Linked DNA regions of Ovis aries. The protein of the gene in region 3 interacts with the protein of the main gene of each other region in a pairwise test. Links are inferred from orthologs where the notes say so. Each region holds a gene or a part of one and is shown on either strand. Other genes may lie near its edges.

The links. The genes of interacting proteins can lie anywhere in the genome.
Region 1: the proteins of ADAMTSL4 (region 3) and SMARCC1 interact in binary tests that used the Homo sapiens proteins (3 or more experiments, as listed by UniProt). The two-hybrid records come from large-scale screens. The link is inferred for Ovis aries from reciprocal best matches to the Homo sapiens genes ADAMTSL4 and SMARCC1.
Region 2: the proteins of ADAMTSL4 (region 3) and OTX1 interact in binary tests that used the Homo sapiens proteins (3 or more experiments, as listed by UniProt). The two-hybrid records come from large-scale screens. The link is inferred for Ovis aries from reciprocal best matches to the Homo sapiens genes ADAMTSL4 and OTX1.
Region 4: the proteins of ADAMTSL4 (region 3) and AMMECR1 interact in binary tests that used the Homo sapiens proteins (3 or more experiments, as listed by UniProt). The two-hybrid records come from large-scale screens. The link is inferred for Ovis aries from reciprocal best matches to the Homo sapiens genes ADAMTSL4 and AMMECR1.

The regions. Positions count from the first base shown.
Region 1 is NC_056072.1:51,970,300-51,974,485, reverse strand, and holds the start of SMARCC1 (SWI/SNF complex subunit SMARCC1), read right to left. Parts: upstream 2,801-4,186; 5' UTR 2,676-2,800; coding exon 2,481-2,675; intron 1-2,480. UniProt on the Homo sapiens protein: Involved in transcriptional activation and repression of select genes by chromatin remodeling (alteration of DNA-nucleosome topology).
Region 2 is NC_056056.1:45,201,511-45,205,627, forward strand, and holds the start of OTX1 (homeobox protein OTX1), read right to left. Parts: upstream 2,801-4,117; 5' UTR 2,692-2,800; intron 2,005-2,691; exon of another isoform or gene 1,926-2,004; intron 1,565-1,925; 5' UTR 1,496-1,564; intron 1-1,495. UniProt on the Homo sapiens protein: Probably plays a role in the development of the brain and the sense organs. Can bind to the BCD target sequence (BTS): 5'-TCTAATCCC-3'.
Region 3 is NC_056054.1:100,567,438-100,571,661, forward strand, and holds the start of ADAMTSL4 (ADAMTS-like protein 4), read left to right. Parts: upstream 1-1,424; 5' UTR 1,425-1,609; intron 1,610-1,753; exon of another isoform or gene 1,754-1,836; intron 1,837-2,326; exon of another isoform or gene 2,327-2,441; intron 2,442-3,015; exon of another isoform or gene 3,016-3,249; intron 3,250-4,142; 5' UTR 4,143-4,224. UniProt on the Homo sapiens protein: Positive regulation of apoptosis. May facilitate FBN1 microfibril biogenesis.
Region 4 is NC_056080.1:124,958,575-124,962,728, forward strand, and holds the start of AMMECR1 (nuclear protein AMMECR1), read left to right. Parts: upstream 1-1,354; 5' UTR 1,355-1,396; coding exon 1,397-1,869; intron 1,870-4,154.

The DNA.
Region 1 (4,186 bases), on a different chromosome or scaffold from region 3:
CTGACTATCAAGTCCAAGGATATGCAATTCTGAATCTGAACAGGCCTAAGAAATACATTTCAGTTTTATGAAACACTGAGAGGTCAAACATAACGTTAACTCTGTCTTCAAGGCCTCAGGGACATGGAGCCAGCATTAGCCTACTGGCTTCAACCCTCTCTTGCAATCAGGCTCACAGCCACTTCCTCATCCACCCAAACCCAGCTCTGAAAGACTATCCAACCCTAAAGCTGCCCTCTGAAACCTGGCCCAAAAGAGATGCAGTCTGCAAAGGCAGAAATAACTATCACTGTACTTCCTTTCTTCCTATTCCCTTTCTTGCTATCCAAAGGAATATTCCTCCTGAGTATCTCTCTGTTAAAGCTACACTGATAGAGCAATACAACATTATATGTCAATTATATCTCAACAAAACTGGGGTAAAAAATCCAGCCTGGGCCTTCCCTGGTGGTCTAGTGGTTAAGAAACCGCCTTGCAACACTGGGACATCAGTTTGATCCCTAGTTTGGGAAGAGCCCACATGCTGTGGGGCAACCAGGCCCCTATGCCACAACAACTGAGCCTGTGCTCTGAGGCCCATATGCAGCAACTACTGAAGCCCTGAGCACCCTAGAGCCTGTACTCCACAACAAAAGAAGCCACTGCAATGAGAAGCCCATACGAAGAGTAGCCCCGGCTCTTTGAAATGACAGATAGTCTGAGCGCACCAACACCCAGTGCAGCCAAAAAATTAACTAAAAAACATTAAGGTATATTAAGACCCAAAATACTGCCTGAAAAGCACGTGATAAACAATAATTTCATAATATAAGCATATTCAATTCCCTTAGCTACTACCATAAGCTCTACTGTTTACACACAAAAAAAGTGACCAATTTACCAATGTACAAGGAAAAACAATACTGTCTACTTAACATATAAGTGAGGAAAATCTACAATCTCAAATGAGACTCCAAAATTCCTAGGGGAATAAAGTCAAAGCACCAAAAAATATATTGTAAGTAAGAATATATGTCACCTCTCACTTTCTAAAAACTGATGTGTGTGTGTTGTGTGCCTAGTCACTCAGTCGTGTCAGACTCTTTGTGACCCCATGGACTGTAGCCCGCCAGGCTCCTCTGTCCATGTGGATTCTCCAGGCAAGAATACTGGAGTGGGGTTGCCATGCCCTCCTCCAGGGGATCTTCCCAATTCAGGGATGGAACCCAGATCTACCACACTGCAGGGGCATTCTTTACTGAGCCACCAGGGAAGCCCAAAACTTGAGATAAGAAATGGTGAGTTCTGAAAGTATCACAGTGGAGTATCAGAAGAACCTTAGACCCCTGCCTATGCCTAACAACTTCCAAAGGCTGATAAGTTTCACTGTACTGTACACCCGAAACCTAAAGTAGGTTTCTAGACTACTTTATCTTTTCATTCATTCAACAAATATTTACTAAGCAACTACTAAGGGTCAAGCAATGAGGATCAAAAATGTTCCAGGGCACACTGTAGTGAACAGGCCAAACAAGGTCCTAGCTCCAGGGCAATGGTCCACAACGGAGGAAGTTAGAGAACTGTGAAGGGTGTTCAGGAAATTCTGAGACACAGAGAGCAATTTTTTTTTTTTTGGCAGTCGGCTTCCTTACACTTTCTAAGGGGGTCAGTCATTTCTAAATAAGTTATATAAAGGGGAAACTAAAAAAGTTGTTATAAACAATGGGACTAAGTCACAACTTTCAGTACCAATGACTCAGTCCAACTAACACTCCAAAGGCAAGACAAGCAGGTAAATGAAAATAATCCCAAAAAAACAGTATGAAGAAAACGAAGGTGATATGAAGTGGGGTGACCTAACACGAAAGGGGTTCTCAGGGAAAGCCTCACATTAGCTACAAGCCAACATTAACTCTCGAATTCCCACTATACATAAGCAGAGGGAACTGTGAAGTAAAAGCCGTCGTTTTATCAATATTAGTGAGTCCCCAAGAACACTGTGATCCATTATATTAACCTGCAGTTACCGACGTCGGAGTACAGCGGTCCACAGTCCTTCTTTAGCATATCAACTACAGGTTTAAGAAAACCTTGGTTACCTCACTGGACTTTGAAGACTGGTCTCTTAAACAAAACTTGCCGCGGCTCTTACAGCTCGGCTCAGACAGTTTTAATAACCACTGTTAACACACCTAAAGCGGCTAACAAAGAGGAAGAGTCACAACCTCCCGGTCACGAAGCCCGACCCGCTCCCTCACAAGCGCGGGCAGGGGCTTTCGCCCCGGATGCCCGGGCTCCCAGGAGCGGCGCCCCGAGGGCCCGCGGAGCCGCGGGCGCGCGGGCGCCGAGAGTTCGCGGCGGGGGCGTGGCGGGCCCGGCGCCTGCCTTTGTTGTCCCTCGTGGCGCGCGGGGGGAGGGGCGGCCCGAGGCCCGCGAGCCCAGCAGCCGCCCCCGGCCCCCGTCGCGTGGCCTCCTCGGCCCCTACGGGCGCGCGGACCCACCTTCTTGTAGTGCTTGCCCAGCCAGACCCGCACCGAATCCAGCTGGGACACCGTCTCCGGGCTCTCCCAAAACTTGCTCGCCGGGCCCCCGTCCTTCCGCCGATAAACGGCCAGGCCCGTGGCCGCCGCCGCGCCTCCTGCGCCCGCGGCGCCGGTGGTCGTCCCCAGCCCTCCGCCGCCCGCCGCCGCGGCCATCGTCGCCGTCCGTCGTCCCCACCGCCCGGCCCTCCCCGGCCCTCGCGGCGTGCCCCGTTCGCACCCGCGCGCGCGCGCGCGCAGCCGCCACCGCCGCCTCCCGGCCCCGCCCAGCCAACCCTCTTCCGGCGCGGAAGCCTGGCCCCGCCTCTTCTCGGGACCGGCGCCCTAACCGACGAGAGCACGCGCGCACGCATGCGCAGCACTCGGGCCGGGCGGGCCTAGGACGAGCCCCTCCACCCGCCTCTTCCGCGTGCACCGCGGACCGCTTACCCGCTACACCTCACAGCTTGGGCTTCCGCGCGTGTGGCTGTTTCCCCGGTACCTGCGTTGAATCGTTATGTAGTCTACAGCTGCACGGTGGTTGTGTCACCGTCTGCCACCGCCGGGGAGAAAGGAGCTGGTGTGAGATGTTCCGAGAGGAGAGCGCGTTTCAAGTGTCGCGTGCCAGCAGTGGAACCCACACGCCGGGTGGGAATCTGCGCCTGTCCTCGCTTGCCTTCAGACCTTCTGCACGTAGTGACCCTGTCGTCCTTTGTAAACATCCATCTGGGACCCACACCTTCGGCTTCACACACCTTCCTTCCCCCTCACGGCTCCAGCCACACCAGCTCATTACTGCCTTGGGGCGCTCGCAACAGCTATTCCCGCGACCTGGACCTCTGATTGTGTCATTTGTGAAGTGAAAGTCGCTCAGTCGCATCCAACTCTTTGCGACCCCATGTACTAATATAGTCCATGGAATTCTCCAGCCAGAATACTGGAGTGGGAAAGTGGCCTTTCCCTTCTCCAGGGGATCTTCCCAACCCAGGGATCGAACCCAGGTCTCCCGCATTGCAGGCGATTCTTTACCAACTAAGCTTGACGCTTTCAAAATCATAGCTTAAAGGTACTTCAAAAAAGTGATCCCTCCTGACCTTGCAGTCTTGAACAATCATACTCGCTCGACATTGTCGCGGTAGGACTCACCATGACTTGGTATTTTTCTTACTTTCCATATAAATTACATAAGAACCTAGTCTTGCTCACAGGTGTACCCTCAGTGCTGAGAAGGCCTGTTACCCAACAGATGTTCAATAAATATTTAATGAAAGAATGAATGACTTATAGGGAGGCAGAAGAGTTTTAAATTATTAACGAAGTGTGATTGGCCGTTATGGAGATTTGAACATAATGCTCTCTGACCCCAGAACAGAAAGTGACAAGCTGTGAGTTTTTCAGACCAGCCTTTAAAGAAAAAAGAATATGATCAGGGAGGAAGGGAGATTGCAAACACGTGAGGGGAAAAAAAAAAAAAAAAAACTGGAACAAAGCCTTTAAAGTGTGAAAGCATGCTTGGTGAAACTCCTTAAGCCCATGGGCTGGAAGCAAAGATGTTACTTGGGGTGGCAGTGAATTTTGAATATCCTATAAGCACTGGAAAACCAGCTTGAAGACACAGAACGACATGACCAGATTTATAGATTAGAAAGTAGCTACTGCAGTAGTGTGAATAATAGAGAAAGACAGCC
Region 2 (4,117 bases), on a different chromosome or scaffold from region 3:
TGCCGGAGGAAGGAGTCACAGGATGGGGAGGTGACGCAGGCTATGGATCTGTGCAGAACTCGGCTCTATAAGGCCTTAGCCCGAAGACCACAGATTCTTTGAAAAGTAAAATTTCTGGATCATTATCACTTCTTTTCGGGCTTGGAATGGGACAGACACTCGTAGGGCGACGCTAGGAGTGAGGAGAGGTTAAAATCGGGGGCAACCTTGGGAGGTCAGAGCCCAAAACGCAGAGTGCGCTAGGTCCCAAGACTAGGCAAAAATCTGTTCGGGTGGGAGAGGGCATCACACCACACAAGCAAACATCCCCTCGACCTCAAGGCAGCAGGAGACCCAGAGCATGAGGGGTTGTTTCGTTTTGTTTCAAATGTTTTTGAAAGTGGAACGGACAGGTAGACTCCAGAGAGCCAAGGTGAGGCACAGCGGAGGGCTCGCGGCACCTGGGCCTCTCCGGGACGCATTGCTCACTGAGTACATCCTTCCAGAGTCTCCGCGGCTGGGTCCCACAGCCGCTCTACCAGTTTACCTCTCTGTGCCTGGCCGCTGAGAGATTGCTTACCCGGAATCCCACCCACACTTCTACCACCGATTCGAGCCCAGGTCCGGCCGAGGCGACCAGAAGGCGCCACCGTACAGGTGGCGGTTCAAACACGCCGCCCGGGATCACCCGCACCTCGCCACAGCCGCAGGCCGTGCTTCCCCAGAGCAAGCCAGTCCTGGCTGCGGACAATGGGGTCCCGGCCGGGGTCGAAAGGTGACCTGACCAGCGCCCCAAGGGTCTGGCGGATTTGGGAAGCCTCAGTGCAATAGGTCTGGTGCGCTTCCGGATTATTCTACTAGCTGAACCAGAGCCCGAGGACCCGATCCAGACTAGAGAACTAGGCCTCTGCGGCGTAGTTCGCGCTGCCCCGGGCAGGAAGGTCGACGCCTGGCTTCCCCAGGTTGCCCCCCAAACGGAGGTGCTACAATCAGGAGTCAGGAAGTAGCGCTGGAAGAGTGGGACGGAGACCCCAGAGGACCTGTCGCTTTAGCCCGCTTCACAGGAACTTAAAGCAGACCTGGGACCCGGGCTAGAAGAGTTCAGGGAAAGAAAGAAGTTAGAGCTAGAGAAGTCTCCCGCTTCTCTCCCCAGGGACCCACGGCCTGGGCCGGGAAAACTCGGTTTGCAGGGAAGGCGACAAAAGGGAAAGAGCCGGGGCCAAGGGAGAATGGGACTCAGCTGTGGCGACTCTGCTAGACTGCAATGGTGAGTTTTCAAAGACTTTCTTCAAACTTAGCACTTTAGCTGGGTTACTTCGGAGGAGGCGGGGGAGGGGTGCGGGGCCGCCGCGGAGCTCCGGGGTCCTCCGCTCAGCAAGAGGGGAGCCAGGTGGCTTCCCAGCCCCGCCCCCCACATGCCAGGGACCGGGGAAGCGGGGACCCATTTGAGGGGGGCGGGGGGCAAGAGCCACGACGCGTTCCCAGAGTCCCGGGCGGCCAGCGGCTTTCTCCTTACCTGCCCTCAGCTGCCGGGGCCGCTCACCATCTACCTCTCGCCCTCACACAGACCCTCTGGACGGCCAACCTGCAAAACAGAGCGGCACAGGAATTACCGCGGGCCCGGGCGGGGGGTCAGGGAGCCGCGGGATTTCTTTCTTTCCCCAACTTCCCTCCTCCCTTTCTCTTTCTTTCTAGTGGCTTTGTGCGTGTCCTTCCAGGTTTCACTTTATTGCACAGACACTTTGTTTGCAAAGCCCCACACGCTCCCGACACAGTGCCTCACCCGGGACCGCACCGAGGGGGCCGCAAGGAGAAGGTGGGGGTAAGAGGGGCAGAGCTGGGAGGTGGCTCGAGGTTGCCGTGGCACTCCGTGCAGCGTGGAGGCGGTGGGGGCTGGGGAAGTCCTGCAGAGGCACTTTGCAAACTAAATAAATCAAGCGAGTTACCTTGTCGGAGTGGCTTGTCTCGCCGGGTTGTTTAGGTGATTGGAAATGTAGCCTGATGAAGATTGATCACCTTTCTACTGCCCTCCCCGGGTATGTGAACGCGAGGTGAGTGCGTAACGGGGCTAGGCTGCCAATCCCCGGCCCCGCGCGGGCTGAGTGACAGGGAGCCGGGCAATGGCAGCACGAGCCGGGGGTTACCTCCGCGCTCCCCCGCCCTCCCCCGCCCCCTGCACCCCGCCCTCACCGCCCGCCCGCCCCGCCCCGGTCGCGCGCTAACTCCGGGGCTAGACTGGCAAACGCAGCGCAGAGCAAGACGAGCAAGGCGAGCGCCGCGCGGGAGCCCGGGCCGCGGAGGGAAACGCTGGCCCTGAGGTTGCCCCGGGGCTCCCCGCCCTTCTCTCGCCCTTTTGGCGCCCTGGAGGGAGTGGCAGAGAGGAGGCGAGGTGCTGGAGAACCGGTTCCCTCGCTCTCTGGCACGCCACCCGATGGGCGCGAGGAGCCGGGAGCTGCGGGCTGGAGGGGAACCGGCCTCCGGCCCCTCTCCCGACGCCGCGGGCCCCAGAGTCTTCATGCACCGGGCCATCCGCGGGCCCCAGAGTCTTCATGCACCGGGCCATCACCCGCAGACGCACGCGGCGGGCAACTCGTGCTGGTCCGGGCTACTTTGCTGAGAGCGGGAGCAGACCCGAGCGCGCAGATCCCGCCTCGGCGCCTCAGGACTCCAGTGCCCTTGAGCCGCACCCGCAAGGGAGGCACGGCCACTTACCTGCTCTTCGACGTCTCCTGGAGTTTCCAGTCCCCACGATAGGTGTTTGCAAATCCTGAAAGCTTCTTTTGAAATGTCGGCTCCCAGCGTCCCCTCCCCTTTACACATACACTGTACTTCTGAATCAAAAGGTTTGGATAGAAAACTTTGTCTTTCACACTGGCTCCTTTTACTAGGGGACAATCTAGTGGAAAACGTGGCCACAGACTCTGCCCTCAGTTTCCTTCCTTCATGCCGCCGGAGCCTCCTTGAGCGATCTCCCCGGATAGTTCGTACTGGCGAAGCCCATTTCCCAGTCGAACAAACTTCTCAAAACACGTCTACCTGGGTGGACTTTTCAAAGCGCAAAAAAAGTGTTTGCGCCCCAACGCTGAGTAATGCAATTCTTTTAAATGGCACCTCCTCCTGAATATTAGGCCGACTTTACTTACCCCCTTTCGAGGAATTCCTACCGCTTCTTCTTAATCTCCCCCCCGCCCCCTCCCCTCCACCTCAACAGGCGGAGTGAAAAGTTTGAACCAGAGTAAGTGTGAGGGCGAGTCTAGGAGCCGCCGGGCGCTTCGCAGTGGGGAGCACCGGCGCTGCGGGGCCGCGGGGTAGGGCACCGAGAACGCACCGGGCGCGGGGCGAGGAGGTGGCGGAGAAGGACGGGGGAGCCCGCTGAGTGAAAAGGGGCCGCGGCCGCCGCTCATCAAAGTGCTTCCCCTCCCCCAAGCGACACTTTCCTTTGGAGTCCGAATAAAATACGGTAACAGAATATGATGGAGGGCACACTGTTTCCTTAACTGCTTCTCAAAGAACCCGGGAGATCTTCTTAGGACCTTTAATAAGGCTTTGGTCGGTTCTTTTGTTGATCTCTCAAAATCAACTCCTTCTAATTGAAGTTGGAGCTGAAAGCGAGCTAATGTTCAAAGAAAGTGGCCGCCAGACTAACGAAATTACATTTTTTTTTTTTTGACGATGAGGGAACATCTAATCAAAGGGGCAAAAGAGGAGGGGTGTGGGGGGGGAGTATGAAGGAGAAAAGGTTTTACAAGATCCTTCTCTGGTTCACAAAAGTCAGCGACACGGGCGCTTCTCTCCAGAACAAAGACACCGCGGCCCATTCACAAAAGCAAGAGAAAGAGAGAGCGAAAACAATAAAAGAATGAGAGAAAAGGAAAAACACGAACAAGATAAAGCCTTAACAGGAAAAGAAACTGCGCAGAGCGCAGCGCTGACTCGAGTGGGGACACATATTAGGCTCGCGCAGGCCCCCGCGGGGGAATAGTTCGCGAGGCCCTGGGCTCCGAGCCCCCGAGATGCGCAGAGATTTAAAGCTAGAAACGAAATATAGCCCCCGCCTTCGGTTCTGGGGAAAAGCGCTGACTGGAGCGCACTAGTTTGTCGGGAAGAGTTGGCCGGCACGCTGGGCGCACTCCCCTGA
Region 3 (4,224 bases):
AACTTAAAAATAAATGCTTTAGCAATCTTGTCCTGCACCCCACAAAATAACAGGAGTCTCAGGGATTCCCTGCCAGTTTACCCACCACCCAGTGAGCCTGAGTTTAAAGTCAGAAAGCAAAAAAAAAAAAGTCAGAAAGCAGGCCTGGGCACCTGGGACTCATCTGTTTGTTCTGTTTCATTCCAAATATTTCTATTAACTCTACAAATACAAAAACCAAAACAGAAATACAAAAGATGAAAAAACAGAGATGACACAAAGTGGCCTAAATGGTCCTTGTCTTGAGAAAACTTAGGGGTTTATTGAAATAATAATAAATCATAATAAAATTATAATTTTATAATATAAATTATATAACTTATAAATTATAATAAAATATAGATATTGAACTTCAAATAAGGATATAATACTTATACTTAAAAGCATTTTATGTTTTCACTTCCCTCATCTCTTGAGACAACATTTGCTTCTGTTGAGTCCAGTACTTACCTCCCAAGTCTGTCTCCAACTAGACCCAACTCCTTAAGGCCAGAGGCTGTTCTAACTGTGCCCTCCACACCAAGTGCAGAAAGTGCTCAATAAGTATTAGGTGGGAACACCTGATACCCTGCTACTGAATATCCTGGTTTTAAAATATTGACAAGTCACTGGAAAAAAATAAATAAATAAAACCTTTCAAATGCTTGAGAGTAGACCCAACAGTACATGACTGTAGTTCATGAAAAAATGGCAAATAAAACTTTTAAAATAGTGGTGACAAGAAAAATAATGACTTTATCTACTCTGTCATTTTACGTGTATTATTTATTTCTTTACCATAAAAAACAGATAATGCCTGTGGTTAAACATTCAAAAACATATAAGCATACAGAGTAAAAAAGTGAAAGCTTATATTTTTATTTTCCTCTCCCAACCCCTCCCCAGCTGCTGCCCCCAGTTCCGAGTTTGGGATGTATTCTTCCTGATCTAAGTAACTAGGCAGACATATCTCCAAGCCTATTCGTGTATGTCAGGTTAACCCCATTTTACAGATGAGGAAACTGCAGCACAGAAAGGTTGAAGCATTCATCCAAGATCACAGAGGGAGATTCAAATCCAGATCCTCTGATTCCTAAATCAGCGCATTCCTTGCGCTACGCCCCGTAGGTAACATTTATGGATGAAGAAACCGAGGCTTAGAGGGTCCCTGAGCAGTCAGAACCACATGGTTCACAGTCCAATTTAGGAGAAGCAGGGATAACTGGGCTTGCACGGGAGGCTGCGTGATGGAGAGGGCCCTGACCAACGTGGAATCGAGGTCAGGCTTGACCATCTCCCAGCCCAGCAACGCCCCAATGTGGGGCGCGGGGCTCGCCCACGCCGCTCGGGTACCGGCGCCACCAACCCCTTGGCGCCCCTCGCGGCCGCTCCGCCCGGGCTGGCGCAGCGCTCGCACCGCCCACTCAGAGCCGGTCGGGAGACCGCGGTCCCGGAGACCCGAGCCCCAGCCGGGTCGAGGGACAGCCCTGGCGCGATGGCTCCCTCGGAACCCGGCTGGGACCTCCTCGGCCTCGCCCCCTGGAGCGGTCGGCAGGTGCCGGGCGGGAGCGGCCAAGGCCCGCAGCCCAGGGTGGGTGGCCCTGGCGGGCTGGGGATTCGGGGGCCGCCGGGGGGCTGCCGCCGGGCGCGTGGCGGGCGGGCTGGCGGGGCGGGGCGGGGCGGGGCGGGGGCGGAGCCGCGGCCGGAGGCGGCCGTAGCCCGGCCCAGGGGCCGCAGTGGCTGCCGCGGAGCGAGGCTGCCTGGAGGGAGCGCCCGGGCGCAGAGGGGTTAGCTGGCCGCCGGGGCCGCGCAGAGCAGGTACAGATCTTCCCTGGGACCCCTGGCCCCGGTCGCCCTCTCTCCCCCGTCTGGTTAGACCATCCGCCCCACGCCGCCGCGCCGTCCGGGTTCTCCGAGCCCCGCGGTCGCGCCCCAGCCACGACCCCGGCCCCAGTTCTTATAGCCTCGGAAGATCTTCCAGTCCCTGGGGTCCAATTCCTGGGGAGGGGGCTCTGATCTCTTGGAACGCTGGCCCCATCACTCGGACGAAGAATCAGCCAAAATTCCTACACAGAATAAAACTGGAAAACACACCCAGGAGCTCCCGGCACGCGCCGGGCACCTCCTGCCCTTCCCCTCTGGAACGGTATTTCTGGATGATGCGTTCCTCCCCCATCCCCCCAACCCTGTCATCCGCTTCCGTCCTGGGTTGGGGGGCACAGACGCTGGGAGGGTTACAAGTGGGTGCCCCGAATCCAGCTCAGCCTGACGACTAGAAAGGCAGGACACCTGTTGGGTGGGCCTCCAGGACCCAGGAGTGGCACAAGGAGGACCAAGGAGTTCTCGCCCAAGACAAGGACTCTGCAGCCAGCCCTGGAGCCCTGGACCCACCCCCTGCCCCTCAGTGCCACTGTTCCCCAGAGGTAGGTCTCTTGGGGTTAGTGAAGCGGTTAGTTCTGCCCAGGTCACTCCTCCTTGATCTCCACTGGCCAGTGTGGAGTTGTGGCAGGGAGGAGCCCAGGTTTGTCTAGACCAGTGTCAGCCGGGCCCAAGAATGGCCAGTTCTGTCTGACCTCTCCTTTCTTCACTCTGGACAGTGAGGCTCACCAGATGAGAAACGGAAAACATGAAAAGACTGAAAACCACAAATGTGTATCTGTTTCTGCAGCGTTTGTGTGTGCCTGTGTGTGCATGTGTCGGCCCCCTGCCCAGCTATGCGGGGGGTGGGGTAGGACTTTTCCAGAGAGGGAGCCAGGCCTGGCCCTGGCCCCAGGAGCTCACGTCACCCCACCCCCCACCCCTCACTTCTCCAGGGAGCTGCCAAAGCCAAACCCAGCTCAGGACAGGATTATGTGTACTGGGTAGACCCATAGAGAGAGACAGCTAGACACAGGCCTGGGGTAGCAGAGAGAAGCAGAGGCAGAGGAAGTGGAGAGGGGACCCAGCAGCAAGAAGTGGCAGTGACCAGCCTCCCATCTCCTTCTCTTCAACCACCAGGAAGGGAGTCAGGCTGAAAGCTGAAGGTTTGGGTGGAATGTTGGCCCTTCTCTGGAGCCCCTACCCGCCTCCTCATCAGGGCGGAGTTGCTGACCTCAGTGGTCAGCCCAGCCAAGGGAAGGAGCAGCCATCAGCAACCCCCTTCACAACCCCAAGTAGCTGAGGAGACCGTTCGGGCACAGGCCCCGCCACTGTGATCCTTCTCAACATCCCAAGCGCTGGGGTCTCAGGGAGGTGAGGGGGAATGGATTTGCTACCTCCAAGCACATTCCTGCCCTTCCCTCTGTCATTTTCCTGCCCCTGAGCTGGCCCACCTCAGCATTAGCTCCTTGGATTCCTCTCCCGGGTGCCTTTCAGATCCAACAGAAACATTTTTTTTTTTTTCCTGGAAAGCAGAGCTCAGAGCAGCATGAAGAGTGGGGGTGGGAAGGGTTCATTGTGAAGGGACTGGAGGGCCAGGGGGAGCCATGGGAGAGCCAGGCTTAGACCAGGGGAGGGTTCCAAGCTCCACTTCTCCAGTGATCAAGCTGAGACTGCAGGATGGACTTCCTGGCTCTTCAGAAGATAGACCCATGAGTGACTGGGGACCAATAGCCTCTCTAGCTGTATCTCCCCTCCCCAGCTTCCCCCAGCCATCAGAGTCTTGCCTGAAGGAAGGCCTCATTGATCCAATGCCAGAGGCTGGCCCCTAGAGGGAAGTTAAATATCACTGGGGAAAATCACCTGCTTCTCTAGAGATAAACCATCAGCCCATTTAGTTTATCCCTTGGCTGCAAAGTTTGAGATAGGCACAGTTGTGTCAAGTGTTCCAGAAGGAGCTTATTAGGTAAGAAGGCAAGAAAAGGCTGAGAAGCAGGTGGGAATGGAAAGCCCAGGGGGCTTCCAGTCAGCAGCTCAGAGAGGATGTCTGAAAAGTCCTCACTGAACCTCCCTCCTCAACCCTCTTAAGAAAGATGCATGTGTCTGAGCTGGCCTAGAGACAGTCGCTGTTTAGGACACAGGAGCTGAGAAGTTCCTGAAGCTGAAGGAGGGGACTGCGCCTGAGCTGGGAGGCTGAGGGCAGACCTCCACCCCTTCAGCTTGGGTAGATGGACAAAGGCAGTGCTCCTTTTCCCTCTCACCTTTAGGATCATTAAGGGATGGACCAATCTTCACCCCTCCATTCTCACTCTGAGTTGTCCTTCTGAGAAGTCATCCCTCCCAATCCCC
Region 4 (4,154 bases), on a different chromosome or scaffold from region 3:
AAGAGTTGGACATCACTTAGTGACTAAATAACAACAGTGTCATAAACATACTAGGCAGAGAGGCTCAAAATTTGTTGACTTATTTTTCCCCTGGAGTGAAATGAACAGCCCTCACCTATCTGCAAGATATCACATATTTAGCTCAAAGGTGACAAAATCGATCAATCCTCTGATGCCTCCAAATATGTAGATACATCGCTTTGTCTAGATGTTTTGGCAAGGCATAGACACAACACAATAAGCTTAGACTTTCTGTTTCTATGAGGTTTCATTTCTATGAATATTTTACATTTGATTATTGTCTTGGGCGCCCAGAATGGGAGTGACTCAATCAAACGCCTCCTCATCCATCCAAGCATTCTTTGAGAAAATTTTAAAAGAATACTAGCAACTAATTATATACCTGAACAAAATCTTTCAACTTGTGACCAAGTATACTACCCGCCCTGTTTATCTGTAAGATCTGTGCTAACTACAGATATATTTCTAACTGCTTTGTTCCCAAGCCAATCCCCTCTCCCAATAACCCACCGGTGCAAGTTCCAGACCACAGTGAACATCTGTGAATCAGTGAGGTGTTGGTTAGGATTTTATTTTTTGCTTTTAAAGGTCTTTATGGGGCTAGGAAGGAAAGTTGAGGAACACGCATGGGGATATATAGAGTCGATTGGGCTGGAATGTCTGTCAATAAGGACAGAGTGTGTCTCTTTTACCGTATTCTTGGAAAAAAGATTATGTGCGTGTTCAGATGGAGTCACTGCAGTATGGCCCGTTCCCTGACTGATTCATAAGGGGCGATCTCAGGTGTGGAGTTCCAAGCACCTGCTTGATCACACTCCGGCAGTTCAGAACCTAGCGTATTTGAGGCCGGTGGCTCAGGTTCCACTTAATTTGGCTCAGGTGTCACTAACACTATGTGCGGTGCCCGTCACTGAGTCGTACTTTGGGACTTGGATACTTACTTCAGACTTTCTTGTTTCTCCCCGCTTCCTTCCCATTAGTTTCCCTTTCGCTCCTCCGTCTCCGGGGTGCCCACTTCCTCCCTTTGCTCCCATTCTCCGCTTTCTTCTCTTTCCTTCCTACTGGGCTTCCCGTCTCTCATCCTCGGAGGGCCGCGAGGCTCGAGGCTCAGGCTCGGCTCCGAGGAGGAGGAGGCGCGAGGCCGGCGGGACAGGCGCGAGGTGCCGAGCCGCGAAAGCGCGGGGCGCGCGCCGGGGCGGGGGCGCGCGCGGGCTGGCCGCGTGGCCGGGCGGCCGGACCAGGGAGCGGCGCGCGCGCGCGTGGCCCGCGAGCCCCTGGCGCGCCCCCGGCGGCCGGGGCCGCAGCGTGCTCGCCCCCGCCGCCAGCTCGCCTCACTTATGGGTCGGAAGCGCTGCGTGGGGGAGACTGTTCCAAGATGGCGGCGGGTTGCTGCGGGGTGAAGAAGCAGAAACTGTCCAGTTCGCCCCCCTCTGGCTCGGGTGGCGGTGGTGGCGCCTCCTCCTCCTCCCACTGCAGCGGAGAGAGCCAGTGCCGAGCCGGGGAGCTGGGACTAGGAGGCGCCGGTACGCGGCTCAACGGGCTAGGAGGTCTAGCCGGAGGAGGTAGCGGCAGCGGCTGTACCCTCTCTCCCCCCCAGGGCTGCGGCGGCGGCGGCGGGGGGATCTCCCTGTCGCCCCCTCCGAGCTGCGGAGTGGGGACCCTACTTTCTACCCCGGCCGCCGCCACCTCTCCCTCGCCCTCCTTGTCGTCCGCCGCCTCGTCCTCATCGCCCGGCTCCCGGAAGATGGTGGTGTCAGCGGAGATGTGCTGCTTTTGCTTCGATGTGCTCTACTGTCACCTGTACGGATACCAGCAGCCCCGGACCCCCCGGTTCACCAACGAGCCCTAGTGAGTACCGTGCCCTCCGCCGCCCTCTCCCTTGCGCTCGGGATGGGGCTCAGAGTTGAGGCAAAGTACGAGTCCGCCTCCCCGCCGGCCGCTGCCCCTGCCCCTCTGGCTGCCCCGGGTCCCTGGAGCCACTCTCCCTGAGTACGGGCACCCCGCACTTTCTGCCCTCTGAGACAAGCGCCCCACACTTGGAGAGGGGTGCTGCTGCGAGAGATGGCTCGCTGACTCCCAGAGGTGTTCGCTTTCTCTTTGAGGTAACTTCGAGGAGTTTTGACCCTCTCCTTCGCCACCCCGGCTCCCCATCTCTGGGTTTGGGAGCTCTGGATCCCTCACGGTGTTGACCTCTCCTGGATTGGGTTTCCTTGACCCCCAGTGAAAGTCCCGCCGGTGTTCCCGCCCCGCGTACCATGCACATGGAGCGTTACTATCCCATTGCAGCGTAAAAAATAGCAACTATCCAACTTCTGCTCTGCCAGTGATGGAACTTAGCTCCGGAGCCTATGAGCTTACCCATCTTTTTCCTTTGGGTTTCCTTGTGTCCTGGGGAGGGAAGACACATGTTCCCTTAGTACCTATTTTTATCCGAACTTACCCATTAAAATGTGTTTCTAGTGAAGCGCACCGCTGGCTCTCTCACATTTAAAGAGTGAGTTTTTTTTTTTTTTTAATTCCACCGTCTGGGTAATGGCTCATTCAAAGAGAGCTGTCCCCATAGAGCCACTGTCAGTTTGTACATTACGCGTGCACTCGCTTTTGTGTCTATTTCACTTTTAAGAAACCCATGTTAGGCTTGACGATTCGGGAACTAGTTAAACAGTAAGTGTGTAGGAATTTTTATGGTTTCCTCCGGTTTTGTACTTTTATTTTACCCTTCAAGTGTGTGGTTGAAATTGTTTAAAATAAAACTGTTACAGCTAAAAGCCAGGTTAATTCTAATCCCTGTCCATTTGGATGTGTGGGAGATGGGGCATGTGTTGTTTTTCTAATGTGTACACTTGAGTGTAAACTGACTTTTTGAGTTAAATGCTCAAGACGGAATGTAAAGCCTAAGGAAGGGCAGAATGACAAAGAGGGTGATTGTTTTTCTTATGAGTACTTAGCATCAATGGGTAAAATAATAGAGAAAAATTTCAGTGAAACTTACACTGAAAAGCATCAACCCTTTTTCTGGCTAAGACAAGTGCCCCTTGTCCCCATACCGTAAGTACCTAAATTGATGTTCTTTTAAAACTGCTTCTTTTCATTTTGTGAGATTAGGGGATTAACTGCAACTGGATAGTATAAACACTCTGCCTAGTCTAAAAATATTCATTTAATATGTAAAGTGAAAATTGCAATAAAGTATCCTGGAAATTGTAAATTCGTTTTGTTTTTCTTTGGCTTTGATACTTGAAATGTATTTCATTTTGTATTTTTGCTACTTTCCTGTGGTCTGTGCATTTTCTTTCAGACCTGGTTCCTTTTTGGGCATTGGTTCATAAGAAATGCTTGAAAGAGCAGAGACTGACACTTTGTCAAATTACATATCTTGATAACTTTCATAGTTTCAATTCTAAAAGCTTAAATCCTAAACCCACACCTGTACTTAGCCAATTTGCTTTTTGGTTAGGAAGTAGAACTCATTTTGAAAAAGACTGCCATGTAAAAAAAAAAAGTCTATGAAATATTTATTAGGTTGAGTCACTTATTTGTGACTTTTCTGCCTTCTCTTGGATGTCTATGGTGTATTAAAGCCAGTCCGGGGATGATACATAGGTTGGCTCAGCAAAGTCATGGAACTGCAAAAATTCTCTCCTGTTTAGTTATATGAGTTTGGCAAAGGCTATTTTACTATTCACGCTCCATTGCTCCAAAGCATATGCGAACACACTTTCAGGAGGTGCTATTTTCACACATTTTAAAGTGAGTTTGGGTTAACTGAATGACTGTAAGAAGAATTTTAAAAGGAAAGTGAGCTTGACCAGCTCATACAGAAACTGCTTTTGAAGGTGTCATTTAAGAGTGGCTACTTTATACACATATTTAAGTATTATTCCTCTAATACCCCACCCACTGGATTTATTTCTCTTGGAATTAAACAGAAAAAATAAGACACCCTTTGACCACTGTGGATATGTTGCAACAATGGTGAAAGAATAATAACTGTTATCATTTAGCAGGCCTTGACTGTGTGTGTCATGTATTCCACCAAACAACAAATTTAGAAGAGACACTGAACATGACCAAGGGGAGAATGGAAGTTCACTTAAGTGGAAAGAGGAGTGCATCTTTATTTTCATTTATCT